2 linked regions of the Neodiprion lecontei genome follow. The protein of the gene in region 2 interacts with the protein of the main gene of each other region in a pairwise test. Links are inferred from orthologs where the notes say so. Each region holds a gene or a part of one and is shown on either strand. Other genes may lie near its edges.

Evidence for each region.
Region 1: the proteins of CREB-regulated transcription coactivator 1 (region 2) and cyclic AMP-responsive element-binding protein 1 interact in binary tests that used the Homo sapiens proteins (3 or more experiments, as listed by UniProt). The link is inferred for Neodiprion lecontei from reciprocal best matches to the Homo sapiens genes CRTC1 and CREB1.

The regions. Positions count from the first base shown.
Region 1 is NC_060264.1:3,829,882-3,835,010, reverse strand, and holds the start of cyclic AMP-responsive element-binding protein 1, read left to right. Parts: upstream 1-1,985; 5' UTR 1,986-2,261; intron 2,262-2,344; exon of another isoform or gene 2,345-2,359; 5' UTR 2,360-2,399; intron 2,400-2,785; exon of another isoform or gene 2,786-3,074; intron 3,075-3,296; 5' UTR 3,297-3,315; coding exon 3,316-3,495; intron 3,496-4,614; coding exon 4,615-4,764; intron 4,765-4,881; coding exon 4,882-5,008; intron 5,009-5,129.
Region 2 is NC_060266.1:17,462,063-17,466,919, reverse strand, and holds the start of CREB-regulated transcription coactivator 1, read right to left. Parts: upstream 3,316-4,857; 5' UTR 3,184-3,315; coding exon 3,070-3,183; exon of another isoform or gene 2,647-3,069; intron 2,577-2,646; exon of another isoform or gene 2,223-2,576; intron 2,142-2,222; exon of another isoform or gene 2,002-2,141; intron 1-2,001. UniProt on the Homo sapiens protein: Transcriptional coactivator for CREB1 which activates transcription through both consensus and variant cAMP response element (CRE) sites.

The sequences.
Region 1 (5,129 bases), on a different chromosome or scaffold from region 2:
TATCTAATCAAAACTGTGATTAGATTGAAATTATAATATCGTAAAGGATGTAAGGATATAAAAAATAATTAATAAAGGAGTTTGTTAACTATTGTATAAAATTGTTTATTATCTTCGCTATGCGGTTTTTAATCAGATAACGTTGTATTAATTACCACATGAATGAATCACAATCGCTAGCGTATATTTTATTAAGAGAGTAATGATCATTTGCTACATCAGATCATTACATTTACGATCGAATTCGGGATTCGCGTTATTACCATGCTTTGTAATAAGCGTACTTATATCAAAATGTCTACGATTTTACGTAACGTTTCGGTATCAATAAATGCGATAAGAAAATGAATATGCTCGTTTGACTCGTTGTATTACGTCATCGCTTCTCCACTCTCCTTTTAAGCGAAATTAAATAAATTCCTAGCAAATATGATCACAGCACGCGAATTGAATAATACGTTTACGTATGGAATTTTATTCTTATAAAGTAAAGTTTAAAAATGATATTCAAAAATTGAACAATATTTGTTAGCGATATATTTTTATATATAATTTTCCGTATTTTTTTTCGAATATGCAGCGATTTATTCATAACATAGTAATGTAGGTTTACTTATCAACGAATTATTTTTTTCTATTCATTGGTTTGGACTTGTGTTACGAGAAAATAATAAAACGCTCGATCGCGCATATTTCGTTACACCTTTGAATGTGAACAACGACCAGGCATATCCGCATCAGACGGCATGAGTCACTTTCCGATGACGTCATTGCGTCCTACAGACCACTTGCAGAGTTACGTTTGTGGCATTCGAGACCCATTTTAATAGTGTGTACAGTAGTTATTTAAAACATATTTAGCAGTAATATAATTATTTTATACAAAAACAATTTTTCGATTAATTGAAATTTTCGCAACCCGACTGCATTAATTACGGCAACGCGGCCAATCAACGGATCTGAATAATATTGTAAACAAAGACAAATGTGTTTAAAAATATACACAAGTATATAAGATATAATATTGATCAGAACCGCTTGAAATATTTATTTATTTTGTTCATTATAAAGACAATCAACAGTAAATTCCTCAATTATTATAATTACAATTGAACTCATAGTGTGGAACACTCGCAAGCGAGATTGTGCGGAGTGGCTGCCCGCGCATTTATTTATAATGGATATTCGAGTGGAAATTTCCACCAATTTGTTATCGCAGGAAAATGATTTGGGATATTTATAAGAAAGGCATTATCGTCGTAGCGAGGAAACAAGCAAAATATGTATATTGTACACACGGACAGGATTCACACGTGAATGCGCGCGTGCGTGCGTACACGTGTCCGTAAAATGCGTGAGCCTCGCGAGCTGTGATCACGGTCATATGAAAGTAATACAAGTGTAGAATGACGTCATTGGATGACGTCAGCGCAACCCTACCACGATTTGTAAGTTATATGCGAAGACGAGGGCGAGGGTGACGAGGGTCACTGCGCGTAGACAAACACGTATACTTACCCATGTGCTAAGAATCGCGTTTAAAGAGCATACAATTAACAAGAAATCATAGAAATTACTGAAAACGCTTTGATCGGTGGGTAGCACCGAGACTGATTAATGTCTGTAAATTTTACGAGCGCTCATCCGCGTTCTTTAGTAAACTGACCTATGAAAGTACTTTGCGATTTCTTTGATATTTCGGTAGACGCCGTCCATATTTATGACATAATAATTGACTCATTGGATGTATATTTCTCGGTTGCGAATTCTCATCGAGTATTTTCGATTTGTTGGCTCTTGAAAACGCACATTTAAAACAATAACACTAAGACGACGGTATTGAGCAATAGCGTGGTGATTGTGCTAATTTGGACTCCCGCGTTACCGTTCGCCGAAGAAAAGTAGTTCTGCCAAGCTTGGTTATCAACGGATAATTATGAAATTGTATGATCTGGGTTTTTTTTTTTAAGGACATAAATTACTAATAATATCTTCGATTCTACTGCTCGAAGACGGTTGTTCGTTAACGAGCACATAATTCCGTAATTAATAAAGAAGAAAAGTGATCAAGCGGTTCGGCATTCACCATTCGCCATTACGCGCGCGGAGTTATACAGGCGCCATTTTGATCGTGACGCGAAGTTCACTCGTCGTGAGCTCCACCAGTGACGAAGCCACTGGAGTTTTGACGTGGCTGCTACGTACTTGCCCGTTTGCCCACTCCGATTGCAGCAAAGTTGGTGACGAGGAATACGTAACTGGTAAGTACTCAGCTGGAGAATAATAACAACCGAGCATGGACCACCGTTATTGCGATAGACCCGAAATGCTCATTGGATGTTAGCATTTTATTTTACAGCCTTAAATAAGGGATAGTTGAGTGTCTACAGTGTATAAAGGTACAAAATATGGCGTCTCGAGATACATGTTTGTATATGTAATTCTTTAAAACCATACCCGCTACTACGCGATACACGTCGTTATACTCGACCGTTAGAAAACGATCCTTTTGCTGTGTGTTACGATTTTATATTACTCTTGTCACATCTCACGCGATTGTTTACTCATTGCTTCGTCGCGGATGAAGAATGATGAAAAAGAAACATTCTCAATAAACATCATTTTATATTCTTCATTTATTTATTTTTAGCCCTCTTTGATGTAAATGACGCAGTAGCATTGGAGGAATTTTACGCGGCGGGAAAAAGGCACACGTTTCAAAACTTCACTTTAAATGGCAGCTTCATTTAAAAAATATGTGCAAATTACACTTGCACAAATGTCATTTACACTGTTGATTGTTGTCGTCAAATGATGAAGGACTTTCTTTTTCAGTCTTTTAATCATTATACTATAATTTAAGCTTTTACTAATAGTTTACATTACCCTGTTTTAACAAGAACAAGAATATATCATTCAACACAAATAATCTGGTTTTACCAAGTTACACATGTCAATATTTTCTGCCAAACATCAGTGACGATAGTGTGCTGCTTATCTAAGTGGATGCGGTTTTTAAGTTTTGTTATACATCCGCCCGTGTTGATATATTCAAGATTCCAAGATCGAAAGTAGTAAGACAATTATATTATATTTTCACAGCTTTTCCTTTTGTTTTCGTGTTTCTTTTTCTTTTCTTTTTTTTTTTTATTTTACATCAACTACATGTATATTGAAGCTTATGATTGATTTCGTCGAATGTAATGTAAGAAAAATATTTGTTTTGTGTGACGTCCAGCCTTATATATTTCTATGTCACAATTGATCGAAACTAATAAGCGTAAATTGAATTTCAGGGCTAGCGGTCCCCAGGCTATGGAAAGTATGGTTGAAGAAAACGGATCTACCGTTGACCCGTTGTCGCAGGGATCTCAGAGTGGAGATGCTGCACCTGCGATAGCAACATCGGTACAATCTTTGAGTAGATCCCAGCACCATCTGGTGGCTTCGACCAGCATTGTGCAACTGACGCTTCCTTTATCAGGGACAACGCAGGTATACAGGACACGCTCCTGTGTATCCATGCCTGATTGATTAATTTATCAAAACCAAATTCCTTCTTTTTTTCTCTGCGGTTACTTATTTGTTATCTTCATACTCTCAAGGCATGTTTACCGCGATACCTAATTCGTTATTTACTCTGCTTCGTTATTTTATAATTACACGTTCATATATTTTCACTGTACTTCACGAGTAGTAGGTATTAGATACATTACTTCATAATTTTGCATAATGCTGGTTCGTTTTGGCCCTTGATGTTTGTACACTATTTGTTACTACTTTTTTATAAATCTTTAATTTTATTCAGGTTGAAGAAAGGAATGTAAGCGTATGATTCATCTCTTTAGTACACGATGAAAATAATATTCTCTTATTTATTTTGCAATTCTCACTTTCATTGTTATATCAATATTTGATGTTTATACCTTCAACAACGATTCATGTTAACGTAACATGTGTTTCAATGCATAATAAATTGTATTGCTAATATCTCAATTCAATCGACTTTTGATTTTCTCAGTAATCATAGTTTGAACTTTAGTTTTACTCAATGTATGTTTTACTACTGTTACGCAGTGCAACGATGTAAATCTCCAGCAAACTGATTATCTTATCACATCACCTCAAAGGGTGATCCGCACACCTGACATAGATCACTTTTGAGCGACCACCTGCGTCGTTCAAGTTTGAAAGTTAGCCGAAATAATTTACAGTAATGGCATTTCGAAATATACCATCGAAATATCTACGTGGCATGTTTCTTTTTCTAATTCTATTCAGTACATCAGTTGTATTTCGAAATGCCGGTGAGATACAAAAAATTCACTCGAAAATATCCTCCTTAAAAAAGTATATCGCCCATACACAGTTTTTCCAATGTATTATAAAACTTGTGTCTCTCGCTTGTTTCGTTTACTTATACATTGCCAAATGTATTTATCGAAAAGTACAAAATTAGTTGATGAATCTAATAGTTCTCTTTTCTCACTGTACAGGTTTTATTGTGATAGATTATTTTCGTTGAATTGCTCGCCTGTAATCAATTAATGTCTTGAGCTACTACCTCATTGATGATACTTCTGGTGACATTTATTTCTTTATCGCCATTTGCAGGTACAATCGGTGATACAGCCAAACCAGCAGTCCGTTATTCAGACTGCTACAAACATCCAGCCGGTTGCTCTTTCCAAGGCAAACGTCATTCTCGTCAGTAAGCCCAATTCAGTCATACAAACGACGCAAGGCAGCCTACAAACTTTACAGGTATGTCAGCATTTGTAACATATGATCTTCACTTATTCTATAAACGAGTAATAATTTTTTCCCAATCAATTGAATCATCGAGTATTGTTTTCTCATACCTGTTATCACTCATTCAAGGTTGTCGAAACTGGAAGTGATGACAGCTTTTCGGACGAGGAATCCCCAAAAAAGAGGAGGGATATTCTAACCAGAAGACCATCTTACAGAAAAATCCTCAACGATTTAGGCGGAGGTGAGATTGCAGGTAAATATACCTTGCTGGATTTATTTTCGTTCCAAAATAAAGATATAAATAGGGAAAGTCCATTAGTTGTATTCATATCAAGAGCACAGTTGTTTAAAGTGCAATGTATTTTATCCTTTTT
Region 2 (4,857 bases):
AACGATGTTTGGTGCTACGGTGAGAAAAAAATTCTTCGACTTTGGATGCACTTGATTCAACGCAACGGCAAACTTCCAACTAATCTTTGTTACAAAAAAAGAAATGTTTACTTCCAAGTATCAAATGACGAACTATTCAAAAGTATTTAAAAAATTGCAGTTAATCCAATAAAATTAATTCATTACTGGCTGTTGATGAAATATTTAGTCGATTTTACATCTCCTAATATATGTTCAACTACGTTCGTCAAGTTGGCACAACCACTTACAATATCGAAATGAAGTCTTAGTCTGCCGGACTATCGACTTTTTCGAAAATTCTGACCCACGGCAAAATTATCCAAAAGACTGCATCTCGATATTTGTAAGTGGTTGTGTTAATGAACGTCGTTCAACTCACAGAATATATACACTTGGCTTTGACGAGTGTCAATTGCTTGAAATCAATTTCTAACTCTTCGATAAAATTCATAATTTTTTCCCTGTAAAATATTCTGTTGTCAACCCGTTGAAATCTATTTTTGCGAATCATAGAAAACGTTCTTAATTCAACTAAATAATTCGTAATTTTGTAGCTACGAGAAAAAGCGATTTCACCAAGTCAAACAATACTTGTGATAGTTGTAAAAGTGTCAGATTTATCATTACCAAGCAAATAAATAAAAAATGATTATTGCCGCAAGTCTAGCAAACGTTTTTTCTCAATGTATAATTATAATATTCTATACGGCTATACATTACGTTGTATTTTCATGTACACGTATATGTATTCATAAACTTGAATAATTTTCCCCCATACCACGAACAGTTGAGTAATTGACTAAAAATTACTTCATCTAATAGATGTCTGTGCCAAAATTTTTTAACACACATTACAGTTTGTGACGGTAAAACGAAAAAAAAAAAAAAAAAAACCCAACGTATGATACAGATGTTCCCACAACTGGGTTGCTTACGAGTTACGAACGGAAATGTATAATCTATTGTCTTCGCGAAAAGTGATTGAACGTCTTAATTCGTGATGAATCCACATGCCTACGCATTCCCATGGAGTATACCCGTATAATTCATGCATAATACAATAAATTATTGCGGTTTTTAAATTATCTCATTTCATTTCATTTCTCATACGTAGCTGTCTCTCATATTCAGCGATGAAATTTTTGTTTGTTTACAGACGACAATTCTTGACGGAAATCTATCTTCGTTACGCATATTTCGCAGACAATCACGCAATGGTAACATCATTAATATAATAACAATTTTATGTCCGTACGATTTTTTTTTATGGGTTGGGGCGGAGGGGGGAGGAATTTCAACGCAACGACGTTGTGTAAAATGAAAAATAAACATCGTATCACCGACCAATAACGACATATTATTCAATAGAATAAAAAGCTGAAGAATCCTGACGTAAACATAAAAGTAGATACAATAAATAAATCTATACTGATAGTGTATACATACAGATATATATATATATAAGCAATGTATAAATACACGGGCCTCGACACGACAGCACGATTTAAGGTGACGGAAGAGGAAGAGGAAGAGAAAGAGAGCGAGCGAGAGAGACAGAGACCGATAAAAACAAAATAAAATAAAACTTGAAAAAATCAAAACGAAACAAACAACGAAATCAAACCAATTAAAGAATAATATAAATTGATATGAGCAAGATCTTTTGACAGCATATATAACATAATAAAAGATTGTGTGAAAAAGGTTTAAGAAAAAAAAGCACTAATCGCAACGAATAAACATCATTAAATAAAGCTTACATAATAGAGTAGTACTATTATAGATGCAATGCGAAATCGCAATAAATAATGTCCACAGACGTTTGTTGCGAACGTGTTGGGTCAAGTTATGCGGCATTGCCGGAGTACTATTTTGACATTTGTGTAAATAATGAAATGTGCCTCTCGGAGTGTTTATCGGATTATGAGGTACGATATGTATCTACCGTATATATACATATCTGTCTGCTGCCTGCACACAAATACGTACACGCTGCTAATGCACAAACCTGTCGCGTGCACTGTGTGAACACGTGTGTTGTATTGTGCGCTGATCTACATGTATAGGTGTGTACGCATGCATTCGTTGGTAAACGGAGGGAGAAGCGGACGCGTGTGTTGGTAAGTACGTCTCCTACTCGTGTGATGCTATACGTGCGTCTTTACGTATGTATACGCGTGTACGATGCGTCGCATTTGCAGAGGCCTCGAACGAAGCGAAAATGAGAGAGACACGCAATCACGCGGCAGATGTCACATTACGTTTACCGCCGATTGTCAATTGTCACAAGTGGGAAGATCGAACGAACGTTTTTCGGATGCAACGTAGGAGGTACATTCTCGTTTCAGGCGCCGACGGTGGTTGGCGATGGGGTCGAGTCCGAACCGTGAAACATACCCATAGCAAGATACATGTAACCGGAAGAAGTGGGGAGAGAGAGAGAGAGAGAGAGAGAAAGAGAGAGAAAAAGAAGGAGAGATAAAGGAGCAAAAACATACACATGGGAGCTGGGCGCGAGCTCTCGCAGAAGCAGACGTAATCGTCGCGTGAAAAAGGTGTGGAAAAGAAAACTGATGTAAACAGAGAATGAAAAACAAAATAATAATAGTTACAATAATAATATAGGAAAGTAACGTGGAGACAGACAGGCGACGGATGGCCGTGTAATAACGAAGATTCGACGGCAACGGTTGGTATTTGTCTGATTCTTTTCTTATTCTTTATTTCCTATCGTGACAATGAAACAACTATTGGAACCTCTTGACAATGAGGCGCGGAAAAAAAATCGAAGCAACAATCATCGAACATTGGCTACATTCGTTGCGAAATGGTGTGAGGCGGTTCGGACTGTGCGTGAACATGAGTGAAAAGTATGTACGAATACGATACGTCTATAGATATCATGTAGCTACGGCGCGCTCGCTGCATATAACACGCACCAACCAATACTAGAGAGGAGGTGTAAGAGGTTCGTTGTTTACGTTTTAATGTCCGGGTTAGAGGATACACGGCAGACGTGTCCGAGTGAAAATAAAAGAAATCTCTTACTCTGCTCGTGACGTCGGAAACCTCTCGCATGATTGCCTCGAACGCGGCAGTTTCCTCCGCCTGTTTCTGATTCAAAAGAGCTATCTTTTCACTGAATTTCCGAGGGTTCGCCATGATGGCTCGGCACTGGATTTTTGACTTGCAACTATACTATTCCCACGTTTGTTATACCGACCGCACCAATGAAAATGTTAAAAAAATGAACGCCACTGCCTTCTAGATGGCCACACGAAGAACTGATCAACATCCCTATTCCGGTGTTCTGATTCTCCGCCACACGTCGCTGCCAGTTGCAGTTGGCATTTGCTTAGCTTTCGCACGTACGACGCAGATGTCGCTATACGACGTTCCCAGCAGATTTCCCTAGGGACTCTAGTTTCCACTAGCGCGGCAGCATGCGCGGTTCGCCATTCAAATCTGCGTTTCAATTATAATACGACGCTTCTAAAGATTAATCGGCCAGGTTCGTAACGTTGACGCCCGTGTCGAACTAAATCGTCGGAAATTACGTTAGAACTTTTGCGTGTGGCTCGAATTGAAAGAATATCGTGATAAATTATTTACGAGTTTACTCGCTTTGCTATAAGTCGAGATTGAAAATGGGGTACTGAATTTCAGCAAGCCACTATTAAATATCATCTTAGGCGTGTAGCTTTGAAAACACTCTGCAAATTACGATGTGAATTGCTTGCGCATCGTTTGCACAATCAACACGCAGTACCACTTTACGAAGTAATAAAAATAACCCTACAAATTGGTATTCTTCAACCTCACCCGCAGTTGATGCGGAGCTTGTTATTACTATACGCTGCAAGCAGTTCGGTCCTAGGAGACTCAGATTCCAAACATATGGAAGATGTTTACAAACTCTGCGTCGATGGAAAACAGCGATGGCCACTAACGCTAAAAATAATGGATGCATCGATTGATGGAGTCTAAAAAAATAAGCGAACACAACTCGATTGAACCAGAACATCTAATTTGTGGGTTATGTCGACTAGCGGTGAATTCGAAATTGTATCCGAAACAAAATAAATATGATTTGGGTCCAAGTGACGATTATTTCTGATTGCATCTCGATTTCTTTCTAATTAATTACCAATTTCGTCATTCGTTTCCAATGAACCTGGGAAAAACGGCACTGACTTGTTACGTATCAGATGTTCGAGGAGCTGCAGATTCGAATTCGTATTGGTATCAGCTTCAAATCATAGGTATACTACTGGCGATAGATGCCCATGCCGTCAACCTCGCAAAAACTGTGGCCCGTCTCTCAGCTAATGAATGCAGAGTGGGAGAGACGGAGTATCCAGGGTAATTCAGGGACCCCGGGTATATATATACATATATATATCCTCAGTCAACGGTATTCAGATCGTCACCAAGGAATCGCTTTTGTAAATTCTCTTTTCAAATTTCCCACCATCCAAAATTCTGATTGATTCGAAAAGTTTAGTCAACCAATCAGAATGCTTGGATGGTGGGAAATGTTAAAAGTGTAACTACAGAATCAGCCCCCTGACACACGCTGCTAATAGTGGTTCGCAAAATGTCCCTCGATTCTGCCGCCAATTTCCACCACTAGTGGCGCTAATAGTCGCCTGACTTGCTTGCGCGCGGTCAGCGAGGGCAGCGAGCGTGTCAGAAGTCCACAAGCGCCACGTAGAGGAACTAAAAAACGGGGGCAAAACGCGTACAATTTTTTGGTATACGAGTGGTGAGTGTCAGGGGGCTGTACAGAATCAATCCCCAGTACTCGGCAGATAAAGTGAGCTTGGACATGACTGA